2 linked regions of the Ovis aries genome follow. The protein of the gene in region 1 interacts with the protein of each later gene in a pairwise test. Links are inferred from orthologs where the notes say so. Each region holds a gene or a part of one and is shown on either strand. Other genes may lie near its edges.

The links.
Region 2: the proteins of HSD17B14 (region 1) and CDKN2D interact in binary tests that used the Homo sapiens proteins (3 or more experiments, as listed by UniProt). The two-hybrid records come from large-scale screens. The link is inferred for Ovis aries from reciprocal best matches to the Homo sapiens genes HSD17B14 and CDKN2D.

The regions. Positions count from the first base shown.
Region 1 is NC_056067.1:55,185,559-55,192,771, forward strand, and holds the start of HSD17B14 (17-beta-hydroxysteroid dehydrogenase 14), read right to left. Parts: upstream 3,851-7,213; 5' UTR 3,736-3,850; exon of another isoform or gene 3,413-3,735; 5' UTR 3,363-3,412; coding exon 3,275-3,362; intron 2,773-3,274; coding exon 2,734-2,772; intron 2,545-2,733; coding exon 2,462-2,544; intron 1,958-2,461; coding exon 1,891-1,957; intron 1-1,890. Other genes in the region: PLEKHA4 (pleckstrin homology domain-containing family A member 4), read right to left, coding at 4,014-4,273, 4,605-4,717, 5,117-5,175, 7,064-7,213. UniProt on the Homo sapiens protein: Catalyzes the NAD(+)-dependent oxidation of L-fucose, yielding L-fucono-1,5-lactone, which rapidly converts spontaneously to L-fucone-1,4-lactone. Can also act on D-arabinose and L-galactose, with lower catalytic efficiency. Does not use NADPH.
Region 2 is NC_056058.1:12,922,108-12,929,135, forward strand, and holds CDKN2D (cyclin-dependent kinase 4 inhibitor D), read right to left. Parts: upstream 3,766-7,028; 5' UTR 3,713-3,765; intron 3,443-3,712; 5' UTR 3,428-3,442; coding exon 3,287-3,427; intron 2,324-3,286; coding exon 1,964-2,323; 3' UTR 1,374-1,963; downstream 1-1,373. Other genes in the region: protein KRI1 homolog, read right to left, coding at 1-34, 624-697, 814-907; AP1M2 (AP-1 complex subunit mu-2), read right to left, coding at 6,992-7,028. UniProt on the Homo sapiens protein: Interacts strongly with CDK4 and CDK6 and inhibits them.

The sequences.
Region 1 (7,213 bases):
CTCACTTTCAATAAGATGGTATTTGGAGGTGGGGGTCTGTGGGAGTTAAGTCATGAGGATGGAGCCCTCTTGAATGGGATTAGTGTCCTCATAAAAAAGACCCCAGTGAGGCCCTTCATTCCTTCCACCTTAAGCGGGGCCTCACAAGACACCAAATCTGCCTCTGACTTGATCTTGGACTTCCCAGCCTCCAGAAATAAATGTTCATTGTTTAAGTCACTGAGTCCATGGTATTTCTATTATAGCGGCATGAGCAGACTAAGACAGGACATATATGTGTTATGTGTATAATGAATAGCGTGCTCCTGCTCAGTCGCATCAGTCGTGTCCAACTCTTTGGGATCCCATGGACTGTAGCCCACCAGCTCCTCTGCCCATGGGATTCTCCAGGCAAGAACACTGGAGTGGGTTGCCATGCCTTCCTCCAGGGCATCCTCCGGACCCAAGATTGATCCTGAGTCTCTCGCGTCTCCTGCACAGCATTACAGCTGAGCCACAGGGGAAGACCATATATGCACATATGTATATGTTTACAACTATATGTTTCTCTAACATAGATTATAATCTTAAATCCTCAAAATAATGCGCACTGGTGGACTCATTTATTTTGCAAATAAAGCAATGGAGATTCCGGAGTGTAGCTGACTTGCCTGAGGCTGCCCCACTCCAGGTACCAGAGTTAGGCTTCAATCCTGTCCAACTAGCCCCAGGGAGGCCTACAAGACACTGCCCTCTTCTGTCTCCACCTCCCGGCATCTCTTTGAAAGCTGAACTCAGAGGGCAGAGCATCACTTTGTTTGACCTTAGCTGGGAACATGTGCTGCTGGTGACTCAAACTTTTGCCGCTCTGAACTTGTCCACAAATACCCAGAAAGCGCAGTGGGATTCTGAGGTTACAACCCACACCCCCACCAAGTAGGTGAGTTCACAAATACAAAATCTGTGAATAAATGAGTATTAACTATATCTGCCTCTTATTGTCTATTTCCTTACTTTACAATGTGAATCCCATGAGGACAGGAAGTGAAAGTCGCTCAGTGGCGTCCGACTCTTTGTGACCCCATGGACTATAGAGTCCATGGAATTCTCCAGGCCAGAATACTGGAGTGGGTACCCTTTCCCTTCTCCAGGGGAATCTTCCCAACACAGGGATCAAACCCAGGTCTCTTGCATTGCAGGCAAGATTCTTTACCAACTGAGCTATGAAGACAGGAAAGCTTGGTGGATTTTGCTCACTGCTAAATCTCCAGTCCCTAGGACAGAAGGTGGAGTGCAGTAGATGCTCAAGAAATATCTGCCAAATGGATCAAGCACACGGAGAGAAAGGAGGAGTATATCTTTAAATCCTTACAAGAGGACAGTGCAGCCCAGAAAGAGGAAGTCAATTGCTCATCGTTGCCCAGCCAAGAAGAAAGGCTTCTTTCTACCACAGTGTGTGATTCCAGTCCAATCAGTTCGCCTCTCTGAGTCTCAGTTTAGCAATATGAGGCATTGTTATAAAGGGTAGTCATTAAGTGGATGGCAATTTCTCTTCAAAGCCTCCACACCAAGCCCTAGAAACCATGTGTGGAGAATACATCTTCCCAGTATTGGAAAAAGAGAAGGGCCATCAGCCTTGCTTCCTAGATAAGAAACAGGCTACAAGATGGAAGTTATTCATCCAAGACAGTTCCCATAATTATGAGGCTGAGCAGTTACACTGTTCAGCACAACGACCCTATAACGATGATGAGAATGGTCATTTTCATTTTAGAAATGTAGAAATGGATGCAGATAGGACTAAGGGCACAGGCTGGGGAGCACACAGCAGGGGTAGAGCCAGGCTTGGGGTGAGAAGTCAGGAGGTGGGTTGACACCAGTGGGGAACGGCCCTCAGGCCTCATGACTCACGGTAGCCAGCATTATTGACTATGCAATCCAGGTGGCCGAATCGGCGGATGGTCTCAGAAACGAGGGTCTGGGGAGAGAGAGGTCTTCTGAGTGAGTGGTGCTGGCATCAGGTCTTATAGAGCCAGGGGTCCCAAAGGTGAGGTGGGGACAGGAGTCACAGCTGAGGGGCTGGAGCCCAGCGGGCTGGTGACATTCACACTGTGGTCACTACCCTAGAGACCCGGGACTGGAGACAGATGTCAGAGATACTGACTAGACGGAAGGAATGGAAAGTGAGGAAAGAGAAAAGAATCCTGCAAGAATGAGACCCCCTGTGAGGAATGTATTTGTCCCAATCCCCGTGACAGCTGTGACAGAGCCTTGAAAGAGCGGGAGGTAAAAGCAAATCCTCCCAGGAGACACAAGACCTGGTCAGTACAGTTAGGGAGAGCCTTGAAGAGATACTGAGCTGAACCGGGAAAGGCAGAGGGAACACCAGTGCAAAAGCCTTCGAGGCGGCCAGGGGAGGGGGTCGGTGGGGAGAGAGAACCAACTGGACATGGCGGGTAGTAGAGACAGAAAATACACTCACCCTCACATCTTCCTCCCGAGTCACGTCACAGCGCAGAAAGACAGTGCCAGGCAGCTCTCGCTCCACCGCCCTGCCCCTGGCCTCTGCGGGAAGAGAAGGGCTGGGGGTCTGGACTTCAGAGTCTGAGGGAGGAGGGGGCTGGGAGGCCGAATCCTGGGTCTGAGGGAGGAGGAAGCCAGGGGTTTGGACTCCTGGGTCTATCAGAGGAGGGGTCTGGGGGCCTGGAATCCCCCTGGAGGGTTGGGGATGAGGACTGAGGGACCCTCACTCACCATCTTTGTCACAGATAACCACCTGGGCACCGCTTTCCACTGAGAATAAGAAAGAAGAGGTTACCCCCAGCCGACCTTGGCGAAGGCCTCTGCTGCCCTCTAGGGGCCACTTACAGCGGGTTGGGCCCGTCTCCCACTCTGCTCCCCTCGTGACCCCAAAGTCTCATGATGACTCCCTAGGACAGAGGGCAGAAGTTTTGACAGATACTCTTCTGGGTTATTCTAGGTGCCTGTTGGGGCTCCTGAGTCTGCCTTCCTGGGTTCCAGAGTAAACCCGAAATCTGCAAGAGACATCGTCCCCCAAACTGCCTGTTTTGCAGAGACAGCTGAGACCACAGAAACGGTGTTTGGAAACCTGCCAAAATCTCAGGCCCTAGGCAACTACCGCCTACCTTTTCGTTCACTTTGCAAATAGGATCTTGTAAGATAAGAATCTAGACTCCAGTATAGGACCTACTTTTTCTCACACCCATTAGTTAGCCCTCGGAGGCCCGTCCTCTCCCAGATTCCCAACATTTAGACCCAGCCAGACCCCACTCACCGAAAGCTCGAACGATCGCGGCTCCTATGCCGCGACCGCCGCCGGTCACGATGACCACCTTCCCAGCATAGCGCGTTCCCATTGCCATTCTGCCGGACACCGCCTCTCCTCTTTCACTCACTCCGGGCTTCTGTCCACCTCCAAAATCGGGTGAGGTAGTGGGGTCAAATCGTAAACAGGGGCCGGATCCTGGAAGCCCGGCCCTGAGGGTGGGGGTGGGGGGCGTTGCCAGGAAAGCCAGAAGCCTGGAAGCCTGGTCCCTCCCTCAGATCCAAGAGTCTGGATGCCCAGACCTTCTTCCCTCAAGTTCAGGATTCCTGGCATCCGGCCGCCCTCTGCCCTCGGACCTAAATGTCCAGGTCCCTCGTCTTCCTTCAGACGCAAGAATCCAGGTCCCCATCCCCCTCTTCCCTCAGGCCCAGTACTCCGGACCCTGAGATTTCCTCCTCCCTCAGACCTACAAGTCCAAGGTCCCGGTCCCCTCCTCCTTTGCGACCCAGAAATCCACGACCCCAGCTCTACCCCCACTCAGAGACACCAGAGTCACAACCTCAAACAGACAAAAAGTTATTGACTAAAAAGTTCAAAGTTTTAATCTAAATTTGGACAAGTGTCGGGAAAAGCAAACTTTGGCCACAGAAACCACTTCTAGGTCACGGGAGAACAGAGGCTGCAGATCTTCAGGTGGTCCCGCCAGGCCACGCCCTCACGCTCTGATTGGCTGCCACGTCTGGGCGCGTCAGAAGCTGGACTGCAGCAGGGTGACCCTCAGAGGCCACGCCCCCTCGTCAGGGGTCAGGGCGGGAGGGGCCGGCCCGGAATCCCAGGTCTCTTCCCAGGAGGCGGGGCCTGCGCCGCGCCCACTACCTCTGGGGGAGAAACCCGTGGAGCAGGAATTGGCTGTTGGAGATCTTCGGGGTGAGGACGCCTGGGGCATGGGATCTGACGGAGGTGGCGGCGCAGGGGGGAGAGGGTCCCCTCGAGAGTCCAAATTTCCACCTGGAGAGGACGGATGGGAAATGAGAATGGCAAACTCAGGAATCCAGAAGTCCAGACACCGCCCTCCGCCCCCAGGCCTTTCCTCTCAAACCTAGGAGTCCGGCCTCCCTGCCCCCTGCTCTCCCAAACTCAGCACTTTTGCACCTTAGCCCCCTCCTGCCTGGAATCTAGCACTCCCAAGCCCTGTCCAGGTCTTCCCTCATCAAGACAAAGGATTCCCAGGGGCCCTCAGACCCCTCCCCATCACGACCTGAGATTCCAGACCTCCGACCCGCCCCCCCCCTCCTCATCCCTAAAACCTAGGAGTCCTAAGTCCCCAGCTCATTCTCACCTGTCATCATTCCGCGCCACTGCGATGCCTCAGCGGCCAGGGCTTGAGAGAGGCTGAGGACTCGCTCCCGGTGCCCTTCGGATGTCAGCAAATAAGGGGTGGTGTTTCTTGGACTAGAAAAAGAGAGTTTGGGCGAAACTTCGATTAGCCAGTACAGTAGAGGCCACAGTGCCGCGCGTGTCCTTCTGGGAGTTGTAGTCCCTAGCACGTGTCTCTAAAGGATTTTAAACGTGGAGCGACCCTCTTTTTTTAGAAGCCCGCGTGCATTGTGGGATTTGTAGTTCAGTTGCCCGAAAATTTCTCCGATTTCCTGACAGCGGGGCGGAGTTTGATATAGAACAAGGAACTGCAGTTCTCCCCGCGAACTAGAGTTTTCTGATTCCCCAAGAACTCAAGCGACTCTAAAAGATTCTGCGATCTGTACTTTAGTACTCAAAAGACATTAACAGTAACACTATTCCCCTTCTCTTTTTTATTTCCCTTCGTTGTTGCCTCGATCTCCAATTCCTTACCTGCTCCAGGACCCCGAACTTCGGAGCCATTTCTGGGTTCCTGAGTGTCCCAGGACAGGCTGCAAAGGAATGGGGGCATTAGAATTCCTCACCCTGGAAGTTCCCATGTTCTCATTTTGAGGGTGAAGAGGCTCAGAGGATAAAATTGCCCCAAAGACACTAATTCTTAACTTTACCTGAACTCCTGGGAAAGAGGGAAGAGTTTGGAAAATTACCACCCTCCCAACCACTTCCCCACGCCTTTTTGCATTCTGGTAAACAGCTTCTTCATATGACTTAGATAAGCCTGAATGATGTGAAATTGATATTTTAAGACAGGACAGGAAAATTAAAGATCAAAGTCTCTCTGCGCGCTTGTTTGGGGCTCCTCCATCCCTAATGTGCAGTGTACACCAGGATTACACATTAGCCAGAGCTCCTCAGAGTTGGCAGTGCTTGCTCTGTTCTGAAGATCATTTCTTTTTTCCCTTTCTTCTGACACTACCAGTGTAACTTCTTAAAAGAACAGCTTCTTTCACAGTTCTGCAGGGGGTCACAGTAACTTGCTGCTGGCTTCGCATGTGCTTCCCTAGACTATGTATCCTTGGTGAAGCTTAGGTAAAATATCACTATGTTATTTGCTTCTTTGTTTGTTTTAAATTGTCTGGCTGCATCAAGTCTTAGTTGTGGCACTTGGGATCTTAGTTGCATCACGTGGGATCTTTTGTCACAGTGCATGGGGCTTCCCTGACAGCTTAGTGGTAAGAATCTGCCTGCCAACGCAGGAGACTTACTTGCTCAACAGAGATGTGGGTTCCATCCCTGGGTCAGGAAGATTGCCTGGAAGGCTATAGTCCATGGGGTTGCAAAAGAGTCGTACATGACTCAGCAACTAAACAACAGCAGATTGTGTAGTTGTGGCGCACAGGCTTAGTTGCCCAGAGACATGTGGGATCTTAGTTCCCAGACCAGGTATCAAACCCTCGTCCCCTGCATTGCAAGGCAAATTCTTAACCACTGGTCTGCCAGGAAAGTCCTGTCAGTATGTCATTTTGATGTTCGATCTTTTGTCTGGAAAACAGACACGAGTGTGCCTCTTGACTTCTAACAGATGGTGAAACAGTTCTCAGAACTTTCTGAGAGTCTCTCTCCCAAGTTCTAATTCTGTTTGGCTCAAATAAAAGTCCCCTTTTTTCTTGTTAACTTGATTTTAATAGAATTTTCATCGACAAGATTCACAGATGAGCCCCCTGTGACGAGGCCAGAAACAGACCCTCCAAATTCACATTCCTTTTGTCATAAATGATTAATGAACTTGTTGCCCCCGAAAAACTAGCTAGACATAGAGATCAATGTTTGATATTCAGCAGACTTGAGATGCCCCCCATTTACAAAAACAATCACAACCCCAAAATCACCCCACTTGTCTAATTCCTTCCTAGAAGAGTCTTAAGATGAAACTATCCATGGGGAATTCCCTGGTGGTCCAGCAGGTAGGGCTCCGCACTCCCACGGCCAAGTCCTCAAACATGGACTGAACCCAAGCCCTAAAATCCCACAAGCTGCGCAGTGGCACAGCCCAAAACGAAAAAACAAGTGAAAAAACCATCCTGCCCAGACAGTCTGATCTTCAGATTGGCAGTGTGATCTCCATGGCAGTAAATACATTTTTTTTTTCTTTGCCTTTGATAGCATAGTAACTGAACAGGAAAACTTGGCTTCCAATCCAGCTCTAAAACCCACTCCTCCCAGAGGAGTGAGAATGCTGGTGAGGATGGAGATGTTGCCTCTGGCCCATCCTGTTCTCCACTGATAAGGGAGACAGGATGCTGAATTGAAAACAGGGACAAGTAAACCTGATATAGAGGAAGGGAAAAAAATCCCCATTTTACAGAGAGGAAAACTGAGGCTCCAACCAGGAACTGAGAACCCACTGCCGCCTCACTGACCCACCCCTGTTTCCCTCACTTTTTGTTCCGCATCAGGCTGGCGTCTGGTTGGGGACAGCGTCCTCCCCAGGGTGAGGAGCCGGGGGGAGGCTGGGCGAGGGAGAGGCCGTCCATATTCTTGATTTCTTCGGATTCTCTCCAACTGCTCCCGAGCACTCATCCGGGGCCG
Region 2 (7,028 bases), on another chromosome or scaffold:
TGTAAAAGTCACGCTCTTGCTGAGGGTCAAATTCCTAAAGCAGAAAAAGGGGGTGGGGACAGATTTCAGAAGCGGGCTGTGATGGGGGCAGTAAGCCACAGGGGCAGAAGGGCTGAGAGTGTGGGAATTAGGGTGTAGGGAGGGGTACAGGTTAGAAGATGGGAGAATCCAGCTGGGTAGAGGAAGGTTGGGGGAGGGCTGGAGGGCTGGATCTCAGTGGGAGGGAGGGTCAAGGGGACCCCGTGGGGGTGGACCACACACGAGTAGAGAATAGGAAGCAAAAAAAGGTAGCAGGCAAGGGGGTGGTGGTACTTCCTGGAATCAATACGGGATGGATGATACAGGGGCAGGTGGCAGCGAAGGCATATGAAAAACAAAGGAAGGGATGGATGGCTCAGTGAGTCTGGGAAGATCAGAGCTGGTGTGGGGAAAAGCTGGGTGCTCCACGTGGCAGAGGGATGCCCCATTTTGGGAACAGAGGCAGACAGGGAGAAATGGTTAGACTGTCAGGGATTGAAGGCGCAATGGGGTTGGAGGTTAGTTGCCCCTTGTAAGTCCGGGCCAGGATGAGACACGCCCCTGGACACCTCCCGCAACTCCGGAACGGAGGCGGAGAAGCTCACCACGTGCTCGTCGCTGGAATCAGATTCGGAGCTGGAGTCGCTGCCGCTGCGCCGGTCTCCGTAGCGATCTTTCACTGTGGGACAAAGATGCGAGCCCCCCACCCAGGTGAGCCTGGGGGACCAGATCAAGGCCCACCTGCAGACTCCCCAACAGGCGCCGGCTCCCCACGCGCATGCGCCCCGCACTCACGCCGCTGCAGCTCCTCTCGCTCACGGTAGCGGCCGTACCTCGCCGCAAACGCCGCGTTCACCCGCAGGGGCGACGACCCGCGCGGCTCCGGCATGGCTGCTCTCCGACCCACTGCGCACGCGTCAGGGAAGCACCGCCTCCCTGGAGGCGGGGCTACGCACAGTTTACTTTAAATAGGGGCGGAGCCTCCTGGGCCGCCCAGAACCTTGCCCCGGGCCCTTCCGGGATCCCTGGCCCTGGGACCGCAGTCCCCGCCCACGAGCCACGCCTCTGCGGGGAAGGCTGCAGCCACCGCCCATCCCACTCCCCCACCCTCGGGGCTCCCGGCACCCAGCTGACATCTGGGGGCCCTTTCTCCACTCGCGGTTTCCTGCCTCCCTTCCGTTCCGACAGCGTAAACCGCTGCCCCACCCAACTCACTCACCCCTGGCGCCCTGGGAATTACCACTCTCTCCCCTCCTCCAAAGCATCCACGATCCTCGACCCCCAGGGCCCATCCCCACAAACATCCAGGATACGCGACTCTCCATCGCGTATCAAAAATGACAAGCCACTAGAGCTGTGGTCATGCACAAGTCTTAATTTAATGGGTAAAAACATTAAATTACACACACAACAATATTTTCTATAAAGCTTAATAAATAGACTTTTTTTTAAACGCTGTACAAAGGGACTGGAAATGAAGCTTTCAACAAAATATTAATGAACTCATACTACCCTTTTATCGATTTGGAACACTCCCCCCTCCCCCATGCCGGAAAGCAGTGTGCACACTTGAGGTCTCTCTCCGTAAGCCGGCCAAGGTCGACAGGTTCCAAGAGCCTTGGAAGAGATGACCTCACTCCCTCACTCTCGAGGGCTGGGGTTTTAAACGCTCTGCCCTTGGGACTCAGTCTGTAGGCGTGGAGGAAACTGAACCGTTCAGGTGGCTGTTGCCTCTAGGAGCCCTTCTCTGCCCAACACACCGAAAGGGGTGAGAAAAAAAAACGAGAAATGCACGTCAAACACACACACCCCAGAAATCAACACCAACAAGCCACAAACCGGTGCCCCTCGGCCGCGGGCAGGAGGAGCAAAAGGAGAAAGTGTTTCTTCCCTCTTCTGACACAGAACTCAGCTGGGTCCTGCTGCTGGAGTGGGTGGCCCCAGGTCACAGGGGTGCCACTGTGTGCCGCTGCAGTATGTCCATGAGCTCTTGGGCCCCTCTCCCCCGTGCCAGCTCTAGGGGTGTGAGCCCCCTGGCGTCCCTGTGATGGAGATCAGACTCGGCAGCCAGGAAGCTGACCACAGGGGTGTGGCCCTCTCTCACTGCCAGGTGGATGGGGAGCGCCCCGGTGCCATCGGGTGCGTTGACATCGGCACCGTGCTCCACCAGCACTTTTAGGGTGTCAAGGAATCCAGTGCGGGCTGCATCGTGGGCCGGAGTGGTGCCCGAGGCGTCCTGGACGTTGGGGCTGGCGCCTTGCTTCAGGAGTTCCAGGGCAATGGTGGGACTGCCGAACATCATGACCTGGTGGGGGGATGGGGGTAGAGAAGGGTCAGGGAGTCTCCAAAGGAGGAGGTCTGGGGAAACGGGTGACTGGAGAGAGGGGTTGACAATGCCAGATACAAGGTTCTCAAGAGAAGGAAAAACTCCGGGGAACAAAAACTTTCAGGCAGCTGTTGAGACCCCAGAGAACAAGATCTCCCGGGAATAAGGAACTTCAAAAAACTGGTCACCCCCCGCCCCCCGCTAGGGTATACCCCCGTGGAAATTTTGAAGGAAACTAAGACCCTCCCCCAAGGAACCAGAGACACTTCTCCCCACAGATGGGAAATCATCAGGAACTATGAACCCCACCAGGAAACAGACCTCAGAGAACAGTCCCCTCCAGGAAATGGAGATGGCCAGGGAATTTAAAACTCCTCCAAGGAATTTCCCCCTCCCATATAGTAGGGATCCTTTCTGATGAAATGGGGTTCCCCTTTTGTAAATGTCCCCAAGGGAACACGGACTCCCATGTAATCTGTGACTACTCCCTTATTGGTATCCCCCTCCCCAAATATGCCAGTAAGAAAACCCCGCGGGAATAGAGATTCTCCCCCACAGGAAACTGGATACCTCGCAGAGAACCCCCTGAAAATGGGTACACCTTGGAAACAGGAATCCTTCCTTCCTGCGGTCGGATCGTCCATAGATGCTCCAAGACATTGGAGCTGCCCTCATGAAACTCGGATCCAAAGAAGGTGAACCCTCACCCAGGGAATAAGAACTTCTCCAGGGAAACTGAATCCTTCGCAATCAGAGAACAAGGAATCCTCCAAAGATGGAAAGCTCTCCCCTCCCCCCAACCTAACCCCATCCACCACCCACCTAAGAAAGGGGACATTAGGGAGCCAAGTCAGCCCAGAGACGCAGGAACAGACCTCAGTCGGCTACCAACGGGAACAAGGAGAGAAGAGGGAAGGGGTCTGCGGGCCTGCCCGGGCTCACCTGCAGCGCCGTCTTGCCAAAGCGGTTCAGAACGTCTGGGTGCACCAGCTCGCGGTGCAGAAGGCGGCGCACCTCCTGCACGTCTCCTCGGGCCGCCGCCCCGCTCAGCCGGTCGCCGGCGTGGACCTCTTCCAGCAGCATGTCGATACTGGCGGCCTGCGAAGCCCCCCGCCCCACCCCGCGGCGGTCAGTGAGGGGGAGCCCACCGGCGCTAGCCCGAACAGCCCTCCCGCAGCGTCGCCGGCCTGCAAAGAGGTCGGACTCTCCTGTCCGGGTCTCGGGCGCGACCCCCGCCCTCCCGGCCGGCTCCTCCCCCTGTCAGCCGGTGGGTAGAGAGGGGCTGAGAGCCCAGGCCCAACCCTCCGCTAGCCCGCTGGGCCCTGCCCGGCGCCCGCCCCTTGGGGGCCGGGTCTCCCCCCAACTCACCCTCCCTCCTCCTCTTCGGGCGGGGTCTGTTCTGAGCCAGCGTCTCCGCCGCTGCGGAGCAGGCCGCTAGGGGGCGGAGCCAGAGCTCTCGCGGCCCCGCCCCCAAACTCCGCGGATTTGTTTTCTTATGAACTTGCTACGTTGTAGCCCAGCTGCGATGCCCGGCTCCCGACCCTGTAGTGCTCCGCCCTCCTTGCCAGCGCAGCCAATGGCCACGCGTTGCCAGGGAGGCTTTGGGCGCCGGCGTGGGCGGGCCCGCTTCTGATTGGACGAACTGCGGCGACCGGTGAACCGCGAACAATGGCGGGGTTTTCGGTTTTTCAAAAGCGACGGGCGGGCGGGAAAGAGGGCCCGTTTAACTGACCCAGGGGAGAAAGGTCAGGCGCAGGGTAGCGCGGGCTGCTCCGGGACCTCGGCACTTCCGAGGGAAAAGGAGGCAGGGCTGGGACCGCCCAGTTTGGAGTTATGCGGTGCGATAATATTCGTTAGTTCTTACTGTGCAAAGTGCTTTATTTCATTCACTCACTGTGTGCTGGAGCCGTTCCTGGCGCTGGGGGTCCTGCATTCGAGCTACTGAGTAATTTTAGTGTTAAGCACCGTGAGGAAAATAAAGCATGGAAATGGGGTGAGTGAAAAAGGAATCACGTTTGGCTCAGATTGCGCCAGCCCTGGCACAGCAAATGCAAGGGTGTGGAAGAAAGTTCATTCACCAGCTGCCACGTGGGTGAGACTGGGAGGCGAGAGTCGCGTCGCAGGCTCTTAACAGAGGCCTTCAATAGCGGGGCCTTCACACATTTACCGACCTGCTACTGTGTACTATGCACCCCAGTAGAAAGCAAGCCAGGTGCCTCCTGACTGTTGGATACTTACCTTTTAGAGCTGGAGACGACAATAAATATTTTCAGAGTGCTATACACTGTGGAGCTGACAAAATGAGATAAATAATGGTGTCTTGGGAAAAGAAGGCTTTGAAATAGAGAGGTCGGGCATGGCCACCCTAAGAAGGTGACATTTGATTTGAGACCTGAAGGTGAGGGAAGGAGCCGTGTGTCTCTCAGGAAAAACATACCAGGTGGAGGCGCTACAGATTCCAAGGCCCTGAGCTGTAACCATGTCTAGTAAGTCCAGGAAGAGCGAGGTATAGAGAGGGAGAGAAGGGGGAGGAGGTGAGGGGTGAACAGGTGTGTGGGCTGTGGTGAGCACTTTTACTTTTTAAAAAGAATGGGGAATTTCCCTGGCGGTCCAGTGGTTAAGACTCCGCGCATCTGCTGCAGGGGGTCCAGGTTCAATCCCTGGTCGGGGAACTACGGTCCCTCAAGCTGCTCAAAACGACAGAAATCAATGGGTGGAACCCTGGGAAGCTTCTGTATTGAGGAGCCACGGTCTAGTTTAGGAGTTAATAGGCGCCCTCTGGTGGCTATGATGGGAACTGGCTGTCATGGGAGAGGGAAGCCCAGAGCCTGGGAGCCCAAGGTGGGAGCAATTGCGAGGGCCCAGCTGAGAGATGACCAGGGCTGAGAAATGGATATGTTGCCCACTCTTTTCCCAGCACCCCAGGGGCACCTCTGACATCCCCAGCCCCCAGCCAAAAAGTACATAACAGCAGCTAGATTCATCTTTTTAATGCCATCCTAAAACTCAGAAATGGACCAGTGGGGCCTCTGGGCTCAGCAGCTGTGGAGGAGGGACTCCCCACGCCTCCTAAGGCAGGTCACTGCAAAAAGGCACTCATGAGGGGGACTTCAAGCCCCTCTTCTATTTCTTCATATAAAACTGGGGGAGGGGGAGGGGTGAGAGTCTGAGAGCTGGAGATTATCACTCCCAGCCTACCAGTAAAGGAAATGGGTAGGAGCAAGTCAGGTGCTGGGAGTAACAAACCAGTAATTCAAGAGCTGCCCTCACACACACACACCCCGTCTTCCCTCCTTCTTTAGTGGAGGCTGCAGTGGGGCCTGGGGAGAAGACAGCCCAGGTTCAGGCCCCCACTTCTCCCTTCTAGCTGGTACGAAGTTGATAATCTGTAGGGAAACAATGAGCAGGGACCATCTCAGAATTGGGGGAAGGAGACAGGACAGCACCCCCACCCACAACCCATCCCCTTCCCCAGTGCTCATGATCAACCCCACAAGTTTGTAACAGGGCTAAGGATGGGCTCAAACATGGCGACTGTAACCACAGCAACATGCCTGTCTCCAGGCAACAGACGGGGCTGCTGTGTGTTCAGTTGCTTATCCAAACCCCACCACCACCACCCTGGAACTGGCAACTGTCCCCATTTTAAAGATAGGCAAACCGAGACTCGGGAGGGCACACTGACAAAGATAGGATAGACCTGAGGGCCACGCCTGTCGGTTTTGGAGCTCTCTGAGACAAGATGTTTCAAAGCCCCAAGACCATGCCCATTCATCTCCTTGTCCCTGTCATCTCAGGGAGCCGGGCCACCTTACCGCCACTCTGGGTGATATAGCGGACCCAGGGCAGGGCCTGGTAACCACTCTTCTCAATGATCTTCATGTATCGGACCTGGAAAGGGATGAAAGGAGGTGGCCCAGGGTAGGGGGGACAGAGCAGGCTGGGGCCAGGGGAACATAAATAACACAACTCCCGGGAATAAGAAAGCACAGCCTGGGAGGAATGAAGTAACAAGGCTCAGGACAAAGATGTGACCAGGACAGTGTATGTGTGTGGGGAGATCAGGTGGTCCAGGACAGTGGGAAAGATGGCACGTTCTAAGAGAATTGACCCAATGCAGTTTAGGCACAGGGCAAAGCCAGGGGGGAGGGGAAGCGGACCCAGGCTGAGAGCAGAAAAAGCAACACTGTGAGACTTCCCTGGTGGCTCAGTGTTAAGAATCTGCCTGCCAACACAGGAGACTCGGGTTCAATCCCCGATCTGGGAGGATCCCACATGCCCTGGGTCATCTAAGCCCATGCGCCACAACTACTGAGTCTGTGCCCTAGAGCCCAGGAGCCGCAATTAGTGAGGCCACGTGCTGCAACTGCTGAAGCCTGTGCACCCTAGAACCCGCGCTCCACGAGAGAAGCCACCGGTGAGCAGCCCACACACTACGACTAGAGAAAAGTCCGTGCAGCAGTGAAGACCCAGCCCAGCCAAAAATAAAATAAAATCATTTTTGAAAAACAGAATCTGCCTGCCAATGCAGGGGACTTGGGTTTGGGGGATGTGCGACATGTGGGATCTTCCTTGGTCCAGGAAGATCCCACATGCCAAGGAACAACTAAGCCTGTGCTCTGCAACTACTGAGCCTGCATTCTGCAACTACTCAAACCCTCGGGCTCTAGAACCCATGCTTTGC